Callithrix jacchus: one gene and its partners. The protein of the gene in region 1 interacts with the protein of each later gene in a biochemical or structural test. Links are inferred from orthologs where the notes say so. Each region holds a gene or a part of one and is shown in the gene's direction. Other genes may lie near its edges. The genes, in order: KHDRBS1, HCK, LYN, ITK, SRC, FNBP4 and YES1.

Region 1 (3,955 bases):
TTTTGATGGTTTATGGGACAAGTAGGAACCTAAGGCTCCACTTGCATATAGCACTCTAGGATGTGGAGAACGCCGTTGAAGATTGTCCACTATGTATGTACCTTGGCCTTGAGAGTAGTGGCAAGGGTCTCTCTAAGCCAGTCTGGAATGGTAGAAGGAGCCATCCTAATGATGCAACCAACGTCGATTAAGGATCTGGTCTCTATCCCACTTTTTGACGGAAAAAACACTTAACTGGCAAGAATGACGGCTAAACAAAACGTTAAGTCACAGAAAGCAGTAAAATATGTAAAAAGAGCTAAAATGCTGCTTCTTTTAAGATTTCCCTGACCAGCAATGGCAACCGTTTTAGAACCGACTGCAATATATGTAATACTGGAAATATATATAACACTAGCAATGACTTCTCGTGTTCCCTGCTGTCTGGGGCCCTTTTCTTTGCTAGACTTCAGGTCTCTGATCCGAACCCTCCCTCTTAGGTCAAGTCCTCCAATTGCTTTTAGTGTTTCCACCAAGCCGTCCTTCTTCAATTTCTCCCTCCAGGTTTCCCTTCCCCATCTCCCCTGCTATTGCTGCGTCAGACTCTCCCTTAGTCTTTCTTTCTCCTTGTGCAGTCTCTGTCTCTCCCCCACCTCTCTTCCTCCCTAGGCAGCCTCAGTTCTCTCTCCCTTCCCTTTCTGGGTCTCCCACCGCAGTCTCCTTTTAGTTTCTCACTTCAGTGACCGCCCCCAAGCTACTCGCCTTACCACCCCACCCCATTGCGCACTAAAATGTCCGTGCCTTTCGGCCGTTGGAGGGCGTGGCCCGGCGAGTAACAGGTCTCCCGCCCCACACTCGGCGGGCCCGCGCGTAGACAAAGACATTCCACAGCCCCCGCCCCCTCCGCCCACTGAACCAGAAGGGGAAGGACCCACGTGTCCCGCTAGCGCCGAGTCACGTGGAAAAGGAAACGAACTGAGCCGGCAGCCTCCCGCGCATGCGCGCCAAATTCTGGCCTGGCGGGCGCGGAGGGAAAGCAGGAGTCGGGAGGCCACTTCTTCGTACGCCGCGGTGGTGCGCAGGCGCCGTGGCTGGACTGGGGACTTTGTTCTCCGCGGAGAAACCCAAGGGCGGTGCCGGTGACTGGCTGCGCACGCGCGCCGCCTCATTTCCGGTGCTCTCTCTCGCTGGGTCGCTAGGGTCGGCTTCGGTCGCTACCGCTCCCGCTCTCCCACCCCCGCCAACCGCCGCCCGGGCCTCCGCCGCTACCGCGTCGCTTTCTCACTCCTTCGATCGCACATCCTCCCCGATGCAGCGCCGGGACGACCCCGCCGCACGCATGAGCCGGTCCTCGGGCCGCAGCGGCTCCATGGACCCTTCAGGTGCCCACCCCTCGGTGCGTCAGACGCCGTCTCGGCAGCCGCCGCTGCCTCACCGGTCCCGGGGAGGCGGAGGGGGATCCCGCGGAGGTGCCCGCGCCTCGCCCGCCACGCAGCCGCCACCGCTGCTGCCGCCTTCGGCCACGGGTCCCGACGCGACAGTGGGCGGGCCAGCTCCGACCCCGCTGCTGCCCCCCTCAGCCACAGCCTCGGTCAAGATGGAGCCGGAGAACAAGTACCTGCCCGAACTCATGGCGGAGAAGGACTCACTCGACCCGTCCTTCACTCACGCCATGCAGCTGCTGACGGCAGGTAAGGGGGCCTCCCGGGTCCCTCTGGGTCGCCCGGCCATCCCAAGGCATGAGTGGCCCTGGCTTTGTTCCTCTCGCCTTCCGCCCCCTCGGGACCGAGGAAGTCGGGAGCTCCGGTCTCATCTTCGTTTTTGGGACCCTGGAGTCCACATTCCCACCTCAGTCTGGAGTGCGAGGGAGAATTTCTAGGCTGCAGTGCAGGCCCGAAGGCGACTTTGCGATCTCCTAGCGCTAACATCTTGATGGATAGTGCTGAGCTCCCCGCCCCTTTCCCGACTCTTCACTCCTCCCTCCTCCTGCGGCTGCCCCGCGCTCCGAGCGCGCAGATTCTTCCAGAAATGAACCTGTATTTCCCCCTTTCCCCGAGGGGGAAGCCTTTTTGATCGCGAGTGGCAATGAGCCCCTCGACCGAGGTGTGGGAGGTGAAGACAGCCAGAACGGGGGAGGGGCCGTGGGAGGAAAGGCCGAGGTGAGGTGGGGTGAGGCTGGAATGCCCTGTCCAGCGCGTCGCTGTCTCTGGGGCCGAGCCGGACTTAGCGGTAACCGCAGCTTAAGTTGCTGGGAGGAAGGAGCGATTTATGGGGATCGGAGCTTGAGGTTTTCGAATCAGATTTCCTACTAAGGCTGATAAAATAAGAATTGCTATACTGAGCTTGAAGGTTGTCTTTAATTTTACACCGTGGGTTCACCATTGAAGAAGGAGTGAAATAACCCTAGAGACGTTGAAATGGGACGATAGGGACTGCCGCGTAGTTCTCATGACGTTTCCCAACGAGATGGACAGAAATTGAGAGAAGTTGCATGATGCTTGTACTGAAAGTCTTGGTCTTTTTGTTGCTTTGTTTTACATATTTTATTCAGTAGTGAAAAAGAAATGAGTCTTTGTTCTGTAGATTAGCGCTCTTTTTCTGATCAGCATTGGCCAATCACCTAGTCGCCCTGATTTTTCCCTAAAGCTGTCTGACCTCCACTTCTAGTTAAAACATTATTTTAATAAATATTTCTTATGATACTTAAATTTTAGTATGCAAGTAAAAATTCCCATCATTCAACACTGAATGAGTGGTTGGACTCTATGGCAAGGTTAATATAATGAACAGTTCGTTATGAAAATATTACCTCCCTCCCTTTGTTCTGTCTCCCAACACTGTAAGTTAAGGGCTCTTTACCAATGTGGTGTTCATCTTTTATGCTTTTTTAAGATAACTGTCAAAAACTATTGACCCTTAAAAGTTCCCTGTAATTTTCAGTCTCCCCTCACTGCTTAACTAAGAGAGCGCTCTTTATTTTTAACTTCTGTTTTCTGGATGAATTTTTTTTTTTTTTCTTTAAACCAAACTGAAATTGGTAAGTGTGTTTGAGGTAATGTTGGTTCACTGAAAGAATGAAATCGGGATGTATGGATTCTTTGTGGCATTGATAAGTGTTAATGTATATTGAGCCTGGCTTTTTATTTTTTCTGAGACAGAGTCTCACTGTCACCCAGGCTGGAATGTAGTGGCGCTATCTTACCTCACTGCAGCCTCCACCTTTCGGGTTCAAGCGATTCTTCTGCCTCAGCCTCCTGAGTAGCTGGGATTACAGGCGAGTGCCACCATGCCTGACTGATTTTTGTATTTTTAGTAGAGATGGGGTTTCACCTCTTGCTCACTCTGGTTTCGAACTCCTGACCTCAGATGATCCGCCCACTTTGGCCTCCCAAAGTTCTGGGATTACAGGCGTAAGACACCACGCCCTGCCAGAGCCTGGCTTTTAAGGTACTTCTGAATTATCTTGCAAAGGAATTGCAGCGAAGTCACAACCCACTGTGAAGAAGTGAGACTTTGAGAAGATAGAATAGTAATATTTAAGTTCTAGTAAGAACAAATGGAAGGGCCAGGCGCCGGTAGCTCACTTGGGGAGGCTGAGGAGGGTGGATCACTTGAGGTCAGAAGTTTGAGACCAACCTGACCACCATGGTGAAACCCCATCTCTATTAAAAATTAAAAATACAAAATGAGCCGGGCATGGTGACACACACCTGTAATCCCAGCTACTTGGGAGGCTGAGGCAAGAGAATCACTTGAACCCGGGAAATGGAGGTTGCAGTGAGCCCACGTCTGACCATTGCACACCACCTGGGCAACAAAAGTGAAACCCTATCTCAAAAAAATAAAATAAAATAAAATAAAAACATGGAAGAAAAATATAGCTATATTTAATGTTTGGTGTCTGAGCACTTTACATTAAATTTTTTTTTTGAGACAGAGTTTTGCTCTTGTTACCCAGGCTGGAGTGCAATGGCAC
Region 2 (3,500 bases), on another chromosome or scaffold:
AAACAGCCTATGCAAAAGTAGGTAAAGGAGTTTAGCCTACTTGGCAGGAGCCCAGGGGGTGGTGGGAGTTGAGTGAGACCCAGCCTGGGCCTTAGCTGGGCCTCCTGCAGATGCCAAGGGCAGGGCTCATTTGAGTATGTAAATTCCAGGGGCCCAGAGGACACCACAAGGTGTAACAAAAGACTACTTTCAGAGCCTGGAATGCCAGAGGGATATGGAAATATGTTTTCACTCCAGTGGGCCCAGTCTCCTGGGAGACAATAGACTGATCTGTTGCTAAATTATCATCTCCAAACTCGCAGAAACCCTGCTGGGCAGCAGTCACGGACCAGGGCAAGAGCCACTCTCCCTGTTTCACAAAAGGGAAACAAACCAAGGAAGGAAAGAGGTTCTGGGCCTTCATCTGTCCAGAAGCAGAGGTAGACTCAGAGCCCAGGGGAAGAAAGGAGCCCACCTGGGGCCTTGGTCCTCACCTCCAGACTCGGAGAGGCAGCTTGGAGCAGCAGGTGGGTTCCCCAGCCTGTCACCACCAACTGGCTATTGACGTCCAACCCACTTTGGGTCTCAGTCTCCCCATTTGTCAAATGAGGGAACTGGACCACAATGTGGGTTTTTTGTTTTTTTTTTTTTTTGGTAGTCACAGCTGCGTTGGCCAAATGAAATGGTGTGCAGTAACTGAGTAAATACAAACAGGCCAAAACAGGGCTGCTCTGACCAAAGCAGGGTGAGGGGCTTATCTGTGGCCTTTCTTTTGTCTCCCCCGCCCCCATATAACCTTGAGGCATCCATAGGATTCATTTTGAAGAGCTCTACAGGTCTTTCCAGGTCTGATGCTGTGACACCCCGATACTCTTGGAAGCAAACCCAGTTCCAATGCCCAACCTCATGGCACCCTGTCTGGGGATCATTAAAATCTCACCACCTTATCAACCCCCAGTGCTGACACCTGGGCTCAATAAACCTACTCATTACTCATTCAGTCAGCAAACCCTTGAGAGGCAGCACTACTAACATCTGGGCTTAGGAGTCACATTGAGTTTTGTTTTGATCTCAGCTCTGCCTGTGTAGCTTCGAGCAAGTAGCTTAACCTCTCTGAGTGCCACTTTCCCCCACTGAGAGCACCAGGAGCCACTATTGAAATATATACTTCACTATGTGCTAGACACTCCACTAAGCCCTTGATGTAGGCTTAGGGGATTAATCTTCACTTGACCCCTTGGAACCGGGTGCTATTACAGAGAAGAAAGTGAGGTACAGAGAGATGACACAATTTGCTTGACATCACAGAGCTGCAGCACGCAAGCTGAGCTGGTCCAGCTCCAGAGCCATTTAGTCAATACCCTCTGCTGTCTCCTGAGTGGGGTGTCAGCCCCAGTCCATTGAGCTCCTGTGAAAATCAGTGGTATGAGCATCTGCCAGTGGGGATCAAACAGCGGTAACTCCTGGCATTAGAGCTTGTTCCAGAAGAAAAGCCAGGCAAAAGGGTTGGGCAGAGTAACAGGCCAGTGCACAGACCCCAGGCGGCGCTTTTGGAGTTTCAGCCCGGGCTCCGCAACTTGCAAGCTGTGTAAGCTGGGGCCACTTACCTATTTCTCTGGGCTTCAGTTTTCTTATCTGTGGAAAGGGGGCTGACAGCAAAAGTGCCTCCTCCAAAGCACAAGGTACATGTCACTTAAGTATTTAAGTATCATCCTGTAAACAAGCTATGATGTCTGTTAATCGTTCGTCTAAGGACTCATAAATTTCCCACACTCCCAGGATCAAGATTCTGTCTCTCACTTCCTCCTGGCAACCTCATCCCTATCTCGTCCCTACCTCCTACGACTCCAAACAAAATCAGTCTCTTCCAAGCTTTTACTGAAAAGTCTGGGTCTCCCTTAGAGACCCAGGGAGGCTCAGGCCTGTAATCCCAGCGCTTCGGGAGGCTGCGGTGAGAGGACCGTTTGAGCTCAGCCTGGGCAACACAGGGGCCCAGGAGGCAGAGATTGCAATGAGCTGTGATCCCACCACTGCACTCCAACCTAGGTGACAGAGCAAGAGCCAGTCAAAAAAAAAAAAAAAAAAAGCCTGGATCTCCATTCTAACTGCCTCAGGTGCCCCCTGCTGTCCACTCCCTGCAAGTGCGCCACTCACTTGACTCAGTCGCTGGGAGGCCAGCTGGTGGTGCTTTGATTGGTCTGTCTAGTCTAGTCAGACGCTCTCGCTTCCAGAGTAATTTCATCAAACTGCACCCAGCTGCAGTCCGACTGGAGTGCTGGGTTATTTAGAGGCAACAGGAAGCACTAGATTGGGAATGCTCAGACTGGCTTGAGCCTGACATTCAGAATGTTTCTGGTGGTGTGAGCTGGAACGAGTGTTTCCATGTCTGTAAAACAGAGATCAGATCATGATCATTCCTGCCTCAAATTGCTTGTCGCCCAGTTTGTCAGCCAAAAGTGCTGCTTTCTGGGCATCTGAGGGTTCATCTTCAACCTCTTTTGTCCACACCCTTGTAAGTAAAAATGACTGTGAGATATAATCCCTGTGTTTTCATCAAAGGCTTCTAGGGCCCCCAGTGTGAATAAGAATCCTCCATGCAGTCTGTTTCACTCGGCAGCCATGGTGATCTTTAAATGTACATCAGAACATGTCACACTCCTGCCTGAAGGCCTCGAATATCTCCCCATCACGCTCAGAATAAAATCCACCCTCCTGTCCTGGCCGACAAGGCTGTTCATGATTATGGCCTCCCTTCCAACTTCAGCTCTCCCCACTTTCTCTGTGGCATCTTCTGCTCGCCACACTGGCCTCTGTGCTGTTCCACAAACACCCAAGCTCTTTCCTACCTCTAGGCCTTTGCACCTGATGTTCTCTCTGCCTAGAATATTCTTATGTGACACACTTATTATTATCATCATTCCTATCTTTGCTAAAATCTCACCCCCTCAAAGCAGGTTTCCCTGAACACCCAATCTGAAAAAGCCCTCTACGGGTCATCTTTTGTTACTCTGTTTTATCTTTTTTTTTTTCTTTTTTGAGACAGAGTCTTGTTCTGTCACCCAAGCTGCAGTGGCATGATCTCGGCTCACTGCAGCCTCTGCCTCCCAGGTTCAAGCAATTCTCATGCCTCCACCTCCTGAGCAGCTGGGATTAGAGGCGTGCACCACCACGCTCATCTTCCTTTTGAATTTTTAGTAGAGACAGGTTTTGTCATATTAGCCAGGCTGGTCTTGAACTCCCGGCCTCAAGTGGTCTACCCACTTCGTCCTCCCAAAGTGCTGGGATTACAGGTGTGAGCCACCACGCCCGGCCTGTTTTATCTTTTCTTTATGGGACTTTCTACCTGCAGCAGTTTTGCCTGGCTCACCACCTGTTCAAGCAACATGTCTGGCACCCACAAGACAATCAGTAGATTTCTGTTGAGTAAATAAGTGAATTTTCCCTACCCAGGGCTGGGGCATGAGAAAGATATAAGAGGTATAGCAGAATATGACATGAGCCTAGATAGTCCCCAGAAAGAG
Region 3 (3,500 bases), on another chromosome or scaffold:
GGCCACATGTGCCAAAATGCAGGCCATGGACTGACTACAAGGGGAATCTGCTGAGAAGGTGAGGTTGAGCTGATGCAAAATTCAACAACATTCCAGAAAAAGCCATTTTAAGGAAAAATCTAGAGCGATAGTATATGCGTTGCATAGGTGTGTTTTGGTCTTATAAAAAGTATATTAAAATGGTAAATTAAGGGCTCTTTGATATTTGAAAAATCAGCTTGCTGCTTCGAAAATGATGAAATTAGTCTCTAGTCTTCCAGTTATTTCCTCTGAATCATATAAAATAGATTGTATTATTCAAATTATGCAAATCTGAATGACTGAAAAATCGACATAGAACTTCTTGACATAAACATGATATGTACAGCCATGGGTTTTTCTGGTACTACAGTGTAGTCATTTTCCTCACCTCACTGAATTGGAGATTTTGTGGGCTTTCATCAGAAATTTGAATTTCAGTGCAAACTGTTTTTGTCCCATTCTATGAAGCCACTTTAATCAAAGAGAAACAGAAAAGTTACATGGTTTGTGGGACAGGTCTCTGACAGCCCCTATCCTACAAGAGGCCCAGAGGCCTCACACAGCCTCACATGGCACTGTGAGAAAAAGGAATTTGATTTCAAAAGTAATTGAGATGGCCTTTTGTGCCACCACATCCTTCCCAATAACTCACCTCCCCACTGAAATAACAGGGGATGCCATCTGTTCCTGTGATTGAGTCATGGGATCAGCCCAAGAGAAGCTGGATGAGACAGGAGTTGCTCTCAGCCTCCAGGGACAGAGCCCTGACTGTGCAATTTCACTCAAACTGGGGAAGCCTTGGATGGGCAGTCCTGGGCGGGGACAGCAACTCCACTGAGTCACCAGGCCCCGCCACTTCCGTCTCCGTCCTGCTGCCCTGATGTTTGGTTTCTATGGCTGCTGGGGCTCCAGTCTTCACTTATTTCCAGGGAGAGAGAAAGAGGCAAAGGAAAAGGGGAGCTGATGGCAAAGGCCTGAACAGTTGATCTGCTGACTGAAACTTTCTGCCATCTGCCCGGGGCTAGAGGGTTTGCAAGCACACTCATTGAGCTGGGCAAACTGCCACCCCAAACAATGTTAGGGTTCTGTCACCAAAGAATGGGGGGGTTAGGATGAGGTGAGCACCGAGCAGCCCCCGTCTGGAACCTCACTCCCTTCCTGCCACCCACAGCAAGTGACAAAAGAGCCCTTTCACTGGCCGAGCAGAGCTGGACGAAGCTCTACAGGTTTTTCCTCTGTGCTCCTGTTCTTTCCAACTTCATGAATGAGCCCATCTAACAGCATCTGCTTCTATTACAAAAATCATATATACAACATGAATGTCAGCAAGAAAAGCTAAACAGAATATTTTTCCCTAACGAATATTCTCTTGTAGGTTTCAGAATCTCAGCTTTTGCCTGGACAGAGGTTTCAAACTAAAGGTATGTCTTCACAGCAACATAGTTAAATTTTTTTTCTTTACTATTAGAGCTTCTATAAAGTGGTTGTCTTGATTTTTTTTTTTAATGTGGGACATAGATAACATAAAAATGGACCCTCGTCACTATTTTTAAGTCTACATTTCAGTGGCATTAGGTACATTCTCATTGTTGTGGAACTATCACCGCCCTCCATCTCCAGAACGCATCTTCTCAAACCGAAACTCCATACCCATTAGACGATAAGTCCTCCTGCCTCATCCCCCTGCCGCTGGCAACCTCTGTTCTGGCTCTATGAATTTCACTGCTCTAGGTACCTCCTAGAAGTGGAATCATATAGTAATTGTCCTTTCATGTTTGGGTTATTTCATTTAGGGTGATGTCCTCGAGGTTCATCCATGCTGTAGAAAGTGTTAGAATTTCTTTTATTCTAAGGGTGAATAATATTCCCTTGTAAGTATATGCCCTGGTGAAGCACAGTGGCTCATGTCTGTAATCCCAGCACTTTGGGAGGCCAAGGCAGGTGGATCATCTGAGGTCAGGAGTTCAAGACCAGCCTGTCCAACATGGTGAAACCCCATCTCTACTAAAAATACAAAAAATTAGCTGGGTATGGTGGTAGGTGCCTGTAATACCAGCTACTTGGGAGGCTGAGCCAAGAGTATTGCTTGAACCCAGGAGACAGAGGTTGCAGTGAGCCGAGATTGCACCATTGCACTCCAGCCCGGGCAACAAGAGTGAGACTCCATCTAAAAAAACTATATCTGTATCTATATCTATATCTATATGCCCCATGATGTTTATCCATTCCTCCGTCATTGGATGTTTGCATTATTTCCACATCTTTGAATAATCTTGCTGTGAATATGGGTGTATCATTTCTTAAAATAGACGGGGAATTTGGTGTATCTGGAATCAGAATCTATTTCTTAAATACAGAGTTGTATTTATAGTTGTAGATTTCAGTGATTCGGTGGTTTGCAATAGCAAATACTGGACACAGTGTATACAGCAAGTTACTCTCCGTAGGCCGTGCAGACATGAGCCCGCGAGGTAGGAAGCACATGTCCTTCTTCCCATCGCCCCTCTCTTAGTGCTTCCTCATGTCCTTTGTGCCTCATGAGGATGGTTAACACACTTCCGCTGATGGATTCTTACAGGTGTTCTCTTGTGCTCATCTCTAGATCCGGAGGAGCACGGAGACATCGTGGTAGCCTTGTACCCCTATGATGGCATCCACCCAGATGACCTGTCTTTCAAGAAAGGAGAGAAGATGAAAGTCCTGGAGGAGTAAGTGCTCTCAAACATGCGGCGGTTGCTCCTTTCCTTGGGCCACTGAGGCCTGCAGGCTGTCCCCTTGTCTTGCTTCTGATGCCGCAGCTGTAGCCTGGCCCCCTTCCTGCAATGGGCATGAGGCCTCCTTGCTACCCACAGGGAGTGGGCAGTGGAAGGAAAAGGGCCAAAGGGATTTTCCTTCTAGGTCCGGCTGTGAGCACTCTGCAGGGGGTTCCCTTTGGAGACAGATGCTGGTTTATTCATTTATTTATTTATTTAGAGATGAGATCTCTCTCTGTCATCCAGACTAGAGTGCAGTGGCATGATCATAGCTCACTGCAGCCTCAAACTCCTAAGCTTAGGTAATCCTGCCACCTCAGCCTCATGAGAAGCTAGGACTACAGGCATGTGCTACCATGCCTGGCTAATTTTTAAAATTTTTAGAGATGGGACCTTGTTATGTTGCCCAGACTGGTCTTGAACACCTGCTGTCAAGCAATTCTCCCACCTCGGCCTCCCAAAGTGTTGAGATTACAGGTGTGAGCCACCACACTCAGCCTAGTTTCTTTCTTTATCCAATCTTGCCACCTTAAGGAATTTGGGTCTGTGTGGCCCATGCATAATATTGGAAATGCCATTTTTCTTTTGTTATATTACTCACATTTAGACTGGGTTGATGGGCCCAACCTAGTTTGAGTTCTAAGGGTGCTGAGCTACAGCAGCCATATTGGAAGATCCTCAGCTCAGCAGTTGCTGTGCTTCTGTGAGGAAGCCTGGGTGTCGTCA
Region 4 (3,500 bases), on another chromosome or scaffold:
CATCAGCACGCTGGACTTTGTTGTATGTGTTAAGGTTTTTTCATCCTAATTAGCAGTGTGCTATTCTGAACAAGTCAATCTCTTTGCACTTCACTCAATATTTTCATCTATTCGCTTCTCCTCTATGCATCTATGTCTTAAGGCAATCATTCTGAAACCATGTTTTAGCAGCAGCGCATATTCAAAACAATTTTCACTAAAAATTCTGGTATCTTGGGTGATAAACACTCTTATTTAGGGTCAGGTTGTCAATTTCCAACTCCTGAGGCACCTCTGAGTAACCCCTAGCGATTCTGTTCCACTGGGTCTGGGCTAGGGCCCAGGAATCTGCCACTTGAACAAGCCTCTGAAATGATTTTTATTCGGTGTTTTGGGAATCATGCTTTGGGAATGTCTACTCTAAGATTCTCTGGAACGAACCTTGAAAAGTGCTGGATTAGGTGATTTACAAGCAGTCTTCCTGGTCTGACAACCTGTGACTATATCAGCACATGATAAGGACAAAGCTGACAATTCTACTAAGGGCAGAAGAAGAAAGGAAAAGAATTAAATCAGAGGTCAAAAACAGATAAGCCAAAGATGTATTTTGCTTGGTCTACATGGTGTTTTTAAAATTCAAGAAGTTCACCTCTTAATTTTTGACTTCCTTTTCAAAAATCAGAAATTGTAACAGTTCTGATCCCTCATTTTCATATGCCATACTTTGGCTGGAGTCAAATCATAGCTGTCTCCTTAAGACGGAGCTGTTTATCTCATTTTCCACAATTCCCCCTATCATACTTCCTGCACTCCGTTCATTTACATATTGCACGTTGGCATTTGAGTCTACAACTGTTAGTGGCAGCATTTGAGTTTGATATAACAAAGGGTCCATCTTGAAAATCCTTCTCCACTAGAAAGGTTGGAAATTTCAGTTCTTTAAAAATAGGACAGGGCTAATAAACCTCAGGTAGACTTGATGTACTTCTGGAGGTAGCACATGAATCCTAATGCCAACGAGTCTGAAATTTCTAGGGGGAGGTTGCTTTGTTTGCTGTCTGTGGGCTTTGTCATTCACTGTGCTGTGCATACCATTTCTCATAGGTGTGCTGATGTGGGAAGTTTTCAGTGAAGGCAAAATCCCATATGAAAACCGAAGCAACTCAGAGGTGGTAGAAGACATCAGTACTGGATTTCGGTTGTACAAGCCCCGGCTAGCCTCCTCACATGTCTACCAGATTATGAATCACTGCTGGAAAGAGGTCAGTGGAGGAAGTGCTTTCCCCTGCATCGTCATATACAATTTCAGGACCTGCCTCCTTCCCTAGAGAAAGTAACCCTCTCAGAAGGCTAAGGCAAGAGGGATGACTCATATAGATTAACAACAACATGACTTTGAGGGTCTTTTAACAGGATAGATCCCCCATCCCTAATGGAGCTGATGGTGACCTTAAATATTATTTTGTTTACTATATAATGTCACAAGCCATAAGCATAACTTCAGAGAGGAGAATGGGGTGTGACCTATGCCAACTTCCTTCTCAATTTTCTGAGAAAAGAAATAAAATCTGTGACATCATAAAACCATTAAAAGTACATGAAGTTAGTTCTATAACTTGGGGAACAAAGTTCACTCACACTATGAAAATATTGAAATGGATTAATTTGAATTCATTTTATTCATTCAGCAATTTAAAATGGGGAGCCACTTCCTTTGTACCCACCTGGCTGGCTATCCCATCCTTGGATTGCAGGCCATGGGTTGAGCCCCATCAGCATGAGTCTTAGATGGTCTTTGGTGAGTTAGAAAATTGTACATTTCAGCCAAAGTGGAAAGTTGCTGAAATAGAGAATTAGTAAAAATTCACATCATTGTAGGACAACAAAGTGGAATACAGACAATTTAGAACACTAGGATTTTGTCTCAGCTTTACCATTTATTTGCCATTTATCTTCAACAATTCTCTGAACTTCCTTTTTCTTACTGTTAAGAGAATTAAATAATGCTTGATGTATGGGTTCATAGAGCCTTTATAATGAGGAACAAAGAAACAATAAAGTCATAAACAAGGGCATGAAACAAATCTTATCCACTTCATAAGGATTAACTACAATAATAATAATGACAGCTGATGTTCAGTTGGCACTTTTTCCTCTTTTAAACATCTTTTGTTGATTTTTTAAATTTATAGACTTTATTTTTTAACAAAGAGTACAGAGTTCTCAAATACCCTCCTCACCTGAGCAGTTTCTCTGTTCACTAAGATTTGGCAAGTGTGTGATAATTTGTTACAATTCATGAACCTTTATTGATACATTATATTAACTAAAGTTCATAGTTTATGTTAAGGTTCAGTCTTTATGCTATAGATTTCTGTAGGTTTTGATAAATGAATAATGCCATGTATCTGCCATTATAATATCAGACAGAATAGTTTCACTGCCCTAAAAATTTCCTGTGCTTCACACATTTATCCCTCTCCTCATCCCCAAACCACTGGCAACTGCTGATCTCTATAATGTTTCCATAGTATTGCCTTTCCCATAATGTCGTATATTGGCATCATACAGCATGTATGCTTTTCAGACTGATTTCTTTCACTTAGTAATATGCCTTTAAGGTCCCTCCATGTCTTTTCATGGCTTGATAGCTCATTTCTTTTTGTTGCCAAATAGTATTCCATTGTATGGATATACCACAGTTTGCTTATCTATTTACCTACTGAAGGAAATCTTGGTTGCTTTCAAGTTTTTTTATTTGTTTGAATTTTTGTTTTGTTTTGAGATGGGATCTCAGTCACCCAGGCTAGAGTGCAGTGGCACGATCTCAGCTCACTGTAACCTCTGTCTCCCAGTCTCAAGTGAATCTTCCACTTCAGCCTCCCAAGTAGCTGGAACCACAGGCATGAGCCACTATGCCCAGCTAATTTTTTGCATTATTGGTAGAGACAAGGTTTTGCCATACTGCCCAGATGAGCTCAGGCAGTCCACCCATCTCAGGCCTCCCGTAGTGCTGGGATTACAGGTATGAGCATCCAGGCAGACTGCTTTCTTTCACTTAGTAATATGCCTTTAAGGTCACTCCATGGCTTTTTAGCTTGATAGCTCATTTCTTTTTATTGCTAAATAATATTCCATTGTATGGATATACCACAGTTTGTTTATTTACCCACTAAAGGAAATCTTGCTTGCCTTCAGTTTTAAGCGATTATGAATAAAGCTGCTATAAATGTTTATGTGCAGGTTTTTGTATGCACATAAATTTTCAACTCGGTTGGGTAAGTGCCTAAGAGTATGCTTGCTGAATCATATGGTAAGGCTGTGTTTAACTTTTTAAGAAACTGCCAGAATGTCTTCCAAAGTAGCTCTACTATTTTACATTCGCACCAGCAGCGAGAGTTCCTCATTAGCATTTGTTGTTTTGGATTTCAGTGGTTCTAATAGATGTGTAGTTATATTACATCATTGTTTTAATTTGCATTTTCCTAATGACATTCAATGTTAAGAACATTTTCATATGC
Region 5 (3,500 bases), on another chromosome or scaffold:
AGTGGGTTTACTGTGTGCTCTCACCATAATGGGGATAGCAACAGCCCCATCACCCAGAAAGTTCCTTGGGCCCTTTGCAGACAGCACCCTCCAACCCCAAACCCAAGCACCCACTGATATACTTTGTCATTATCAATCTGTTTTGTTTATTCAAGAATTTCATACATGAAATATTTTACATCTGGGATGCATCCTTTTTTTTTTAACTTTTTAAATTTTAAATGTTTTAAATTTTTTTGATACAAGGACTCACTCTGTTGCCCAGGCTGGAGTGCAGTGGCGTGATCACAGCTCAGTGCAGCCTTGACCTCCCAGGCTCAATTGATCCTCCCATCTCAGCCTCTCAAGTGGCCGGGACTATAGGTGTACCCTACCACGCCCAGCTAATTTTTTTTTTTGTTTATATCTTTTGTACTGTGTAGCTCAGGCTGGTCTCAAACTCCTGGGCTTAAATGATCTTCCCGCCTTGGTCTCCCAAAGTGCTGGGATTGCAGGCAGGAGCCACCGTGCCCAGCCTGAGATGCGTCCCTGTGGCATCTCCCAGCAGTTAGTTCCCGTTGTCGCTGAGCAGGACGCCATTGTCCGCATTAACACAGTTTACCTGTTCACCTGGAGGTGCGCATCTGGTCGTTTCCCAACCTGCTTGCCTTTTGAGTGACAAGCACTTTATTGAGAGATGAGTTTACATAAAATCTGTTGTGCTGGTTATAGCAAGGCTAGCCACCTGGGAGGACAGGTTTGGGAATCACTGCATCCTGGCAGAGGGACAGGGCAGGAACTGGAGCTGGGTCTTTCTCTGCCCAGGGAGTTTGCTGGACTTTCTCAAGGGGGAAACGGGCAAGTACCTGCGGCTGCCTCAGCTGGTGGACATGGCTGCTCAGGTTAGTCAGCCCCTCCCTTCTCCCCACACCCTTGGTCCTCAAGCACCCAGACCCATCTGGTGCAGCCAGTTCTGGCCTCTTGAGTGCCCCCTCCAGGAAGCCTGCCTTGATTACCCCCACACTCACTGATCTTGCCACACGTATTTACCAGGTCCACTTACAGGCACCCTAAGCGGTGGTTCTGGGCAGCAGAAAGCCCTTACCTGGGCATCAGGGGTCACTGACTAATATCAGGGGTCACCTTTATAGAGATGACAACTGAGGCCCGAGGTCCCCTGTACATCAGTACAACTGATGTACTCAGTTGTCATCTCAATAGTCATTTAGTCACTCAGCAGACATGTGTTTGTGCTGACTTTAGGCAGTGCTTGACAAGCATTTTTCATCAGGAGTGACGAGGATTGGCTATTATTCCCATTGGATGGATGAGAAAACAGGCTCAGAGAGGAGACTTGGGCAGCAGGCAGGGCATGGCACTTGTCCACTTGTCTGTGTCTGGGTCCGCTGGGGCCTCTTTCCATGGTCACCTCACTTTCCTGGCTGCATCTGATCTCGGGCCTCCCCATTGCCCTTTGCTCTCTCCCCTCTGCCCCTGTGCTCCCTCCTCCTGCGGAGCACTGCTCCTGCTTTTGATGCCAACAGCATTTACCGTGAACTGACCTCACTTGCCTGAAGAAGCATGGGATGGTGGGGGAGGGGTGGATGGCTCTCCAGCCCTGGGTGCCCTGTGGTCCTGGGAGGGCATGGGTGGCACCTGAGCTGGGCTCCCATGGTTTTGCCTGCAGATCGCCTCTGGCATGGCATATGTTGAGCGGATGAACTACGTCCATCGGGACCTTCGTGCAGCCAACATCCTGGTGGGAGAGAACTTGGTGTGCAAAGTGGCCGACTTCGGGCTGGCTCGGCTCATCGAAGACAATGAGTACACAGCCCGGCAAGGTGGGCAGGGGCTTCGTGGCACGGGGCGTGCAGCCTGGGGCAGGTCACGTCCTCTCCCAAGCCTCAGTTTCCTTATCTGTCATTCCTCATGGTGCTCACCTGGTGGAGCAGTCACGACAGGTCAGAGCTGCCCTGACCTTTTTCGTTCCTGCAGGTGCCAAATTCCCCATCAAGTGGACGGCTCCGGAAGCTGCCCTCTATGGCCGGTTCACCATCAAGTCGGATGTGTGGTCCTTCGGGATCCTGCTGACGGAGCTCACCACAAAGGGGCGGGTGCCCTACCCTGGTAAGAAGGTCCTCCCGGCCCGTCTCTAGTCCCTGAGCCCTTGCCCTGGTGGCCTTGGGTAAGACCTGACTCCTGCTGGGCCTGTTTCCCCATCCATACAACAAAGAAGTTGAGCACCTGATCTTAGGCTCTCCTGATGGTCCATGCTCTCAGCTTCGGGGACGGGACCTACCCATGGTTGCACCCAACCTGGCCTAGGCAGGAAGCCCTCACCATCCTCCCCATCAGCTTCCCGCACCCCACTTTCCTTACTGGAGCCAGGCTTCCCATGCCTCACTCTGCCCACAGGGATGGTGAACCGAGAGGTGCTGGACCAGGTGGAGCGGGGCTACCGGATGCCCTGCCCGCCCGAGTGTCCTGAGTCCCTGCACGACCTCATGTGCCAGTGCTGGCGGAAAGAGCCTGAGGAGCGGCCCACTTTCGAGTACCTGCAGGCCTTTCTGGAGGACTACTTCACGTCCACTGAGCCCCAGTACCAGCCTGGAGAGAACCTCTAGGCACGGGCGGGCCCAGACTGGCTTCTCGGCTTGGATCCTGGGCTGGGTGGCCCCTGTCTTGGGGCTCGCCCTGCTCTGCCTGCCTGCTGTTGGTCCTCTCTCTGTGGGGCTGAATTGCCAGGCTCGAGGCCCCTCCCTCTTTGGCGGCATGGAAGGGGCTTCCGGACCTAGGGTGGCCTGAGAGGGCGGCAGGCGTGTGAGACCAGCACAGTGACTGTCCAGCGCCCACTCTAGCCACACGCCCCTCCTTGCACTCCCTCCTGGAGCTCTGTGGGTCTCTGGAGGAGGAACCGGGAGAAGGGCTGGGGCCGGGCCTGAGGATGGCCTTTTCCAGCCTCAGCCTACTCCACTCACTGAACTCCTTGCCCACTTCCGTGCCACCCCCAATCTGTCTCGAGAGCTGGCCAAAGAGCCTTTCCAAAGAGGAGCGATGGGCCCCTGGCCCCGCCTGCTCACCATCCTGCCCCTTGCCATCCATTCTGGAAACACCTGTAGGCAGAGGCAGCCGAGATGGATCCTCTGCCGCTGCTCCCAGGCTGGGCAGTAGGATGAGTACCCCTCAAACCCTGCCTCCTTAGACCTGAGGCACCTTTGGAGATCATCACTTCCTTGCCCCCATTTCACTGATGGGGAGACAGTCGAGAGAGGGGATGTGACGTGTCCAAGGCCACAGAGCAGTTCAGAGTGGAGGCGGCTTGGAACCGGTGCTCCCTCTGTCTTCCTCAGGAACCAACAGTTCGTGGGAGGCATCACGAAAAGACTGGGACAACCCAGGGGACAAGGGATCTGAGGATGCGTTCGAGATGGCAGAATCGCACTGCCGCTGCCTGCTCGGCCGGGCTGTTGGGGAACAGCATGGAGGCAGATGTGGGTCTGAGCTGGGAGTCAGGGTGAAAG
Region 6 (3,500 bases), on another chromosome or scaffold:
GCCTCCCGAGTAGCTGGGACTACAGGTGCGCACCACCATGCCCAGCTAATTTTTGTATTTTTAGTAGACGGGGTTTCACCTCGTTGACCAGGATGGTCTCGATCTCTTGACCTTGTGATCCACCTGCCTTGGCCTCCCAGAGTGCTGGGATTATAGGTGTGAGCCACCGCGCCCGGCTGGATAGGAAAATCTCTTGAATCCTGGAGGTGGAGGTTGTAGTGAGCCAAGATCGTGCCACCGCACTCCAGCCTGGGTGACAGAGTGAGACTCCATCTCAAAAAAAAAAAAAAAAGAAAGAAAGAAATTGCTATTTAAGAACTTACCTTCATACTACATACAAAATGAAAAAAAATGAAGGCAGGAATTATGATACCAAAGCATTGAATGTGAACTCTTACATGACTAATGGAACAATTTATGTTTACTTTTAGGTGACCTTTGAGTTTATGTATGGGATGTATGACACAGAAAACTAATTTTATTTTCTGATAAATCTGTTCATTTACCAAATTTTTAGTGAGAGCATAGAATGTGTCAGCACTGAAATTTAGTATAAGTAATAGTTGAAAAAGTTTAGCTAGAATTTAACATTTTACGTATTTAAATAAAATAACATATATAGAGAGGTACATGTGCTTAGTTAGTTGTAATCTTACCAGAGGTGATCCAAAAGGAAATGACGTAGCAGCATTACAGAGGCCATCCCTGATACCATTTGAGTTTAAGGAAGACAATAATTGGTTTTAGCCATGTTGAGCCCCATTTTTAATTTATGCCACTTCCTGTTTCAGGAATAATCATTGATTAGAAGCTTTTCTTTCTTTTTTTTTTAGATTATAAAAACTTCCTCTTTAATCAAGGTTTATAACATGAACAGATTTCTTGAATAAAATGTAACGTTTCCAGTACAATGAAACATAAATCCACAAGTCACCATACATCCAACACCCAGCAGGAAAAAACAAAAACAAGTTTACACGATCCCTGTAACAGCCAGGGTCTTAATCTCAGATGCTTCCTCCATCTGCCAAGTGTGCTCTGGATAGACAGCACACCGTGGCTTCTGGGGTCACACTCAGCTGAGGCTGTGGACCCACAGAGCACTCATCAGGTTGGGCTGTAGTGGTGGTGGCTCTACTCAAGAAGCAAAGCAGTTACCAGCACATTCACACAGTGTATTGAACATCTTTTAAATATCAAAGTGAAAAACAGGAAGGCAACACAGTAATGTCATCAGAAAGATGTTAGGAAGTAAGGACAGCTGTGTAAAGCGTGAGGCTGAAAAGTGGCTTGCCAGCTTCATTTCTTCCGCTTCTTGGGTAGTGGGCGCCAGAACAGTAAGATGTGAGGTTCTGGTTCATGGATCATATAATGGACCCAACCCTGACTCTGTTGAAGGCCAAGATTCCTCTATTCAGATTCAGACATCAAATGGGTTTTAGGGACCAGCTTGGCTATGTCCTTAGTCAGCATGACATGCCGATACTCAAACTCCTCGTATTTGTCCAAACAGTAAATTTGTTTGTGCAACATGATGACTCCGTCTGCTAGCCTTCAGCCCTGCACCGCCAACCTCCAAGCAACTCCCAGCAGCAGCTTTTTTTTTTTTTAGACAGAGTTTTGCTTGTTGCCCAGGCTGGAGTGCAATGGCCCAACCACGGCTCACTGCAACCTTCGCCTCCCAGCCAGATTCAAGGGATTCTCCTGCCTCAGCCTCCTGAGTAGCTGGAACTCAGGCATGCGCCACCATGCCTGGCTAATTTTTTGTAATTTTAGCAGAGATGGGATTTCCTCATGTGGGTCAGATTGGTCTTGAACTCCTGACCTCAGGTGATCCGCCGGCCTTGGCCTCCCAAAGTGCTGGGATTACAAGTGTGATCCATCACTTCCTACTGAAAAGCTTTGTTTTTAACTTTGAAAGTCTTTGTTACTCTTTTTTTTTAAATTTGTTTTCTTTTGTAAAGTCTTTGTTTCAACTGTTACACTGTAATTTGCTTACTTTGAGGTAAACACTTTAATCACTAAATTCTAAAATCAGGATATACTATGTACTATTTGGGAAGAGAGAGTGAGATTGAATAATTGAAATAACTATGCGGATTAATTTTCTTGTTCTCTTGTTCTTTTTGTTGCTGTTTTTTGGAGACATGGTCAGTCTCACTTTGTCACTGGTTGGAGTGCAGTGGAGATGTTCCTGCTCAGTGTAGCCTCAACCTTCTAGGCTCAAGCTATTCTCCCATCTCAGCCCCACGCCCAGCTAATTTTATATTCTTCTTCCTCTTCTTTTGTTTTTATTTTTGTTTTGGAGAGACAAGGTCTCACCATGTTTTCAAGGCTGGTCTCAAACTCCTGGGCTCAAATGACCTTGCTACCTCAGAACCTACCCAAGAGGTTGAGACTATAGACATAAGTTGTGGTGCATGGCCCATAGATCAAGTTTTTTTTATTTCTTTGGAGGGGGAAGTCTCGCTCTGTTGCCTAGGCTGGAGTACAGTGGCTCAATCTTAGCTCACTGCAACCCTGCCTCCCGGTTTTAAGGAGTTCTCCTCCCTCAGCCTCCCCAGTAGCTGAGACTATAGACACACGCTGCCACGCCTGGCTAATTTTTTTGTATTTCTAGTGGAGATGGGGTTTCACGCTGATGCCTAGGCTGGTCTTGAACTCCTGAGCTTGGGCAATCTGTCTGCCTCAGCCTCCTAAACTGCTAGGATTATAGGCGTGAGCCACCACCCCTGGCTATAGATGGTTTTTATTAGCTTTAACCATTCGATGTAATTTATAGTTCTGTGATAGTTCAGTGATTATTAGTTTTGGGATTATGTTCTTATTTGTAAGTAAGTTAAAAAAAAAAACCATGTTATACTTTCGCTTAGACATTCCTAGGACTTATTGCCATTGTTATAAATGCTGTTTTCTAGGCCAGGCACGATGGCTCAAGCCTGTAATCCCAGCACTTTGGGAGGCCGAGGCGGGTGGATCACCAGGTCAAGAGATCGAGACCATCCTGGTCAACATGGTGAAACCCTGTCTCTACTAAAAATACAAAAAAATTAGCTGGGCATGGTGGCGCATGCCTTAATTTCAGCTACTCAGGAGGCTGAGGCAGGAGAATTGCCCGAACCCAGGAGGCAGAGGTTGCGGTGAGCCGAGATCACGCCATTGCACTCTAGCCTGGGTAACGAGCAAAACTCCGTCTCTTAAAAAAAAACCAAATACTGTTTTCCTTTTTGTTTCTAGGCGGTCTATGCTTACTTGGTGCTTATGCTGACAGTGATGACGACGACAATGATGTTTCTGAAAAGCCAGCACAATCCAAAGAGACAAATGGAAACCAGTCGACTGATATTGATAGTACATTAGCCAACTTCCTAGCGGTTAGTGGTGCTTTGGTTTGGGGTTTTAGTTATTGAAGGTATTTTGGGACCAGAATCTCAAGTAGTCATCCTACTTGTCAATTCACTGTCGTCCACCTCCTTTCACCCTCTCCTTCCAACTCTTTT
Region 7 (3,500 bases), on another chromosome or scaffold:
AAAAGGATGGAAAAAGATGTGCTCTGTAAATCCTAACCAAAGAAACAAAGCCTGGATAGCAGTAGACTGAATTTAAAGCAAGAAATAATACTAGGGGCAAAAAGGGACATTTTATGATGATAAAAGGGTCAGTACAGCAGGGAAACATAAAAATCCAAAATGAGCTATGTAACTACATAGCTTCAAAATGCATAAACATTTATATGATCAGGATATTCTAGTTAAATTCAATGTTCAGATGAGAATCCAAATCTAAACAATTTGTAGGTTACCCGTCTTTAAAGTAGAAAAGGAGATACTTTAGGCCAGGCGTGATGGTTCATGCCTGTAATCCCGGCGCTTTGGGAGGCTGAGGCAGGTGGATCACGAGGCCAAGAGGTCAAGACCATCCTGGCTAACATGTCGAAACCCTGTCTCTACGAAAAATACAAAACTTAGCTGGGAGTGGTGGCAGTCGTCTGTAGTTTCAGCTAGTCAGGAGGCTGAGGCAGGAGAATTGCTTGAACCCAGAAGATGGAGGTTGCAGTGAGCCAGTTGCGCTACTGCACTCTAGCCTGGGTAACAAAGCAAGACTCCATCTTTTTTTTTTTTGAGACCCCGCCCACCCCAATCCACAAGACTCCATCTGAAAAAAAAAAAAAAGGAAAAGGAAAATAGACACTTACTGTCTTTTTTTTTTATGATTTTAGAGGATTTGGAAAGAACTTTCCACATATAGCACAGACCTTTCCACTGCATGCTCTTCTCACAGAAGATTGTCCATTTCAAAGCAACAGCTTCTGTTTACTATTCTTATTTGGGGACAGTAATAAACCTTGATAAATGCTAAGAGGTATGAAATGCTTACATTTATTGACAGTATGCTGAGTATTTATATATTTTTCTTCTTTTTTTTTTTTTTAAAGACAGAGTTTTGTTCTGTCACCCAGGCTGGAGTGCAGTGGCATGATCTCAGCTCACTGCAACCTCTGCCTCCCGGATTCAAGCAATTCTTCTGCCTCAACTTCCTGAATAGCTGGGATTACTGGCATGTGCCACCACACCCAGCTAAGTTTTGTATTTTTAGTACAGATGGTGTTTCACCATGTTGTCCAGGCTGGTCTCAAACTCCTGACCTCAGGTGATCCTCCTGCCTCAGCCTCCCAAAGTGCTGAGATTACAGGTGTGAGCCACCACACCTGGTTGGCATAAAATAATAGTTCTAATTATTATAGAATTCTGAAGAGTGAAGTGAAAGCTTATTAGTAATTAGAAGTTATTTTTGTAGGTTCTGGCTTATTTAGATTGATTAATCCTAACAGTCAATTAAAATAAAAGAACAGAGTAGAAAAAACGTACTAAAAGGATTTTTCTAGCATAGCAAAAGAAAAAAAGGAAAAAAAGTTCAATTATAGTAAGCCCTCATCGAATATTAATTCCCTTGCTCCTTTTCTCCTCCCCTGAAACAACTTCTTGTATTTTGATGGTTGGTAAAATATACTGGATTTCACTTTATTTATTTATTTATTTATTTTGATATAGAGTCTCACTAAGTCACCAAGGTAAAGTGCAGTGGCACAATCTCGGCTTACTGCAACTTCCGCCTCCCGTTCAAGCAATTCTCCCGCCTCAACCTCCCAAGTATCTAGGATGACAGGCACCCACCATCGTGCCCGGCTAACTTTTGTATTTTTGTAGAGACAGGAGTTCACCATGCAGGCCAGGCTGATCTTGAACTCCTGACTTCAGGTGATCTGTCCGCCTCAGCCTCCCAAAGTGCTCTGAGATTACAGGCAAGAGCCACTGCGCCTGGCCGGATTTCACTTATGAAGATAACACTACCTATTTAGATGAAAAGTTCAGAAAACTTCCTTTTAAGTATTGAGTTTCAAAGTAATGTCATATAGGGCTTTTTTAAAGATAGTTTAAGAAATTTATTTTGAGAAATCAGTTATTCTTCAAAAAGAAATAACTAAAAATCTAAATAATGATTTAACCCCATTACATTTTCTTGAGAGAATCAAGTCCATTTTAAAAACCATTCCTGATTGGTTGATAAAGTTTACAAGAGATATGAGGGATGGCCTGACTTAGGCAGGCAGGGAAGGTGATGCGCCAGATGGGAAGCATGGTGGGGTTGTCGGCTTGGTGAGACACTGTCAGGAAAAATTTGGAAAAGGAGGCTTTTTGCTGGCCTGTGATAAGATGGGATGAGCTGCTTATTGTTAGGGGGTTGGGGGAAGGGGAATTATAAAGGAACACAAAAAAGAAACTATGTGTAATATCTTGAAGAAAGTGAAACAGGTGATACTAGATAAGGACACTGTTTCAAGGAAGTAATTTGGTATAAAGTTACATAGTTAGTATATTTGGCAAAACCAAGACTAGAACTTTCTTCTCAATTCCTATTTTAAAATATTTTCAGACACAATCTTGCCACCACTCCTCAGTAGCCCAAGTTTGGTCATTCTTTAATGTTAACATTAGAAAGTACCAGTACCTCAGAGCGGCTCCCTAATTCTTATTAATCAAATGGGGTTGGCTTTTGAAGACATTGGTATTAAAAATAAGATATTAGATGGAATGAAAAATTAGACATGTTAAAACATAGGTTAGCATTTTCTAAGCTTTTCTTGATACTCTCCTTCAAAATATATTTTGTTGCTTTGTTAAAAGAATTATTTCACTAAATAAAATTAATATACTTTGAATCAGTTAGTGACTATTTGGTTTATGTTTTCCTAGTGGTACTTAGGACCATTGTTCTTTAATGTTTTAATCTTGTGTGTTAGGTATGGTGAACCGTGAAGTACTGGAACAGGTGGAGCGAGGATACAGGATGCCCTGCCCTCAGGGCTGTCCAGAATCCCTCCATGACTTGATGAATCAGTGTTGGAAGAAGGACCCTGATGAAAGACCAACATTTGAATATATTCAGTCCTTCTTGGAAGACTACTTCACTGCCACAGAGCCACAGTACCAGCCAGGAGAAAATTTATAATTCAAGTAGCCTATTTTATATGCACAAATCTGCCAAAATATAAATAACTTGTATAGAATTTCTACAGGAATCAAAAGAAGAAATTCTTCTTTACTCTGCATGTTTTTAGTGGCAAACTGGAATCCCAGATATGGTTGCACAAAACCACTTTTTTTGTTCCCAAGTATTAAACTCTAACATACCAATGATGAATTTTCCAACCTATTTCAGGGTCCAAAGAAAATAGAGCTAAGATACTGATGACAGTGTGGGTGATAGCATGGTCATGAAGGACAGTGAGGCTACTGCTTATAAATCATTTTCTTTCTTTTCTTCCCCAAACTCAGAATTGCTCAAAGAAAATTATTTATTGTTACCGATGAAACTTGAGAGATAAAAACTATTACCATAATGAAATCTAAAATTAAGGAATATCATGGGACCAAATAATTCCATTCCAGTTTTTTAAAGTTTCTTGCATTTATTCTTCTCAAAAGTTTTTTCTAAGTTAAATAGTCAATATGCAATCTTAATATATGCC

What was found.
Region 2: the proteins of KHDRBS1 (region 1) and HCK interact in a biophysical measurement, tested with the Homo sapiens proteins (2 studies listed by BioGRID and IntAct, with this or other methods). The link is inferred for Callithrix jacchus from reciprocal best matches to the Homo sapiens genes KHDRBS1 and HCK.
Region 3: the proteins of KHDRBS1 (region 1) and LYN form a complex in vitro, tested with the Homo sapiens proteins (3 studies listed by BioGRID and IntAct, with this or other methods). The link is inferred for Callithrix jacchus from reciprocal best matches to the Homo sapiens genes KHDRBS1 and LYN.
Region 4: the proteins of KHDRBS1 (region 1) and ITK form a complex in vitro, tested with the Homo sapiens proteins (4 studies listed by BioGRID, with this or other methods). The link is inferred for Callithrix jacchus from reciprocal best matches to the Homo sapiens genes KHDRBS1 and ITK.
Region 5: the proteins of KHDRBS1 (region 1) and SRC form a complex in vitro, tested with the Homo sapiens proteins (8 studies listed by BioGRID, with this or other methods). The link is inferred for Callithrix jacchus from reciprocal best matches to the Homo sapiens genes KHDRBS1 and SRC.
Region 6: the proteins of KHDRBS1 (region 1) and FNBP4 form a complex in vitro, tested with the Homo sapiens proteins (2 studies listed by BioGRID and IntAct, with this or other methods). The link is inferred for Callithrix jacchus from reciprocal best matches to the Homo sapiens genes KHDRBS1 and FNBP4.
Region 7: of the proteins of KHDRBS1 (region 1) and YES1, one has a biochemical effect on the other in vitro, tested with the Homo sapiens proteins (2 studies listed by BioGRID, with this or other methods). The link is inferred for Callithrix jacchus from reciprocal best matches to the Homo sapiens genes KHDRBS1 and YES1.

The regions. Positions count from the first base shown.
Region 1 is NC_133508.1:68,627,225-68,631,179, forward strand, and holds the start of KHDRBS1 (KH domain-containing, RNA-binding, signal transduction-associated protein 1), read left to right. Parts: upstream 1-1,155; 5' UTR 1,156-1,288; coding exon 1,289-1,670; intron 1,671-3,955. UniProt on the Homo sapiens protein: Recruited and tyrosine phosphorylated by several receptor systems, for example the T-cell, leptin and insulin receptors. Once phosphorylated, functions as an adapter protein in signal transduction cascades by binding to SH2 and SH3 domain-containing proteins.
Region 2 is NC_133506.1:7,110,022-7,113,521, reverse strand, and holds part of HCK (tyrosine-protein kinase HCK), read left to right. Parts: intron 1-302; coding exon 303-506; intron 507-3,500. UniProt on the Homo sapiens protein: Non-receptor tyrosine-protein kinase found in hematopoietic cells that transmits signals from cell surface receptors and plays an important role in the regulation of innate immune responses, including neutrophil, monocyte, macrophage and mast cell functions, phagocytosis, cell survival and proliferation, cell adhesion and migration.
Region 3 is NC_133517.1:12,347,596-12,351,095, forward strand, and holds part of LYN (tyrosine-protein kinase Lyn), read left to right. Parts: intron 1-1,396; coding exon 1,397-1,442; intron 1,443-2,623; coding exon 2,624-2,729; intron 2,730-3,500. UniProt on the Homo sapiens protein: Non-receptor tyrosine-protein kinase that transmits signals from cell surface receptors and plays an important role in the regulation of innate and adaptive immune responses, hematopoiesis, responses to growth factors and cytokines, integrin signaling, but also responses to DNA damage and genotoxic agents.
Region 4 is NC_133503.1:20,008,514-20,012,013, forward strand, and holds part of ITK (tyrosine-protein kinase ITK/TSK), read left to right. Parts: intron 1-1,083; coding exon 1,084-1,241; intron 1,242-3,500. UniProt on the Homo sapiens protein: Tyrosine kinase that plays an essential role in regulation of the adaptive immune response. Regulates the development, function and differentiation of conventional T-cells and nonconventional NKT-cells.
Region 5 is NC_133506.1:32,839,217-32,842,716, forward strand, and holds part of SRC (proto-oncogene tyrosine-protein kinase Src), read left to right. Parts: intron 1-804; coding exon 805-881; intron 882-1,666; coding exon 1,667-1,820; intron 1,821-1,974; coding exon 1,975-2,106; intron 2,107-2,394; coding exon 2,395-2,603; 3' UTR 2,604-3,500. UniProt on the Homo sapiens protein: Non-receptor protein tyrosine kinase which is activated following engagement of many different classes of cellular receptors including immune response receptors, integrins and other adhesion receptors, receptor protein tyrosine kinases, G protein-coupled receptors as well as cytokine receptors.
Region 6 is NC_133511.1:112,816,462-112,819,961, reverse strand, and holds part of FNBP4 (formin-binding protein 4), read left to right. Parts: intron 1-1,215; exon of another isoform or gene 1,216-1,533; intron 1,534-3,237; coding exon 3,238-3,374; intron 3,375-3,500.
Region 7 is NC_133514.1:63,289,954-63,293,453, forward strand, and holds part of YES1 (tyrosine-protein kinase Yes), read left to right. Parts: intron 1-2,771; coding exon 2,772-2,980; 3' UTR 2,981-3,500. UniProt on the Homo sapiens protein: Non-receptor protein tyrosine kinase that is involved in the regulation of cell growth and survival, apoptosis, cell-cell adhesion, cytoskeleton remodeling, and differentiation.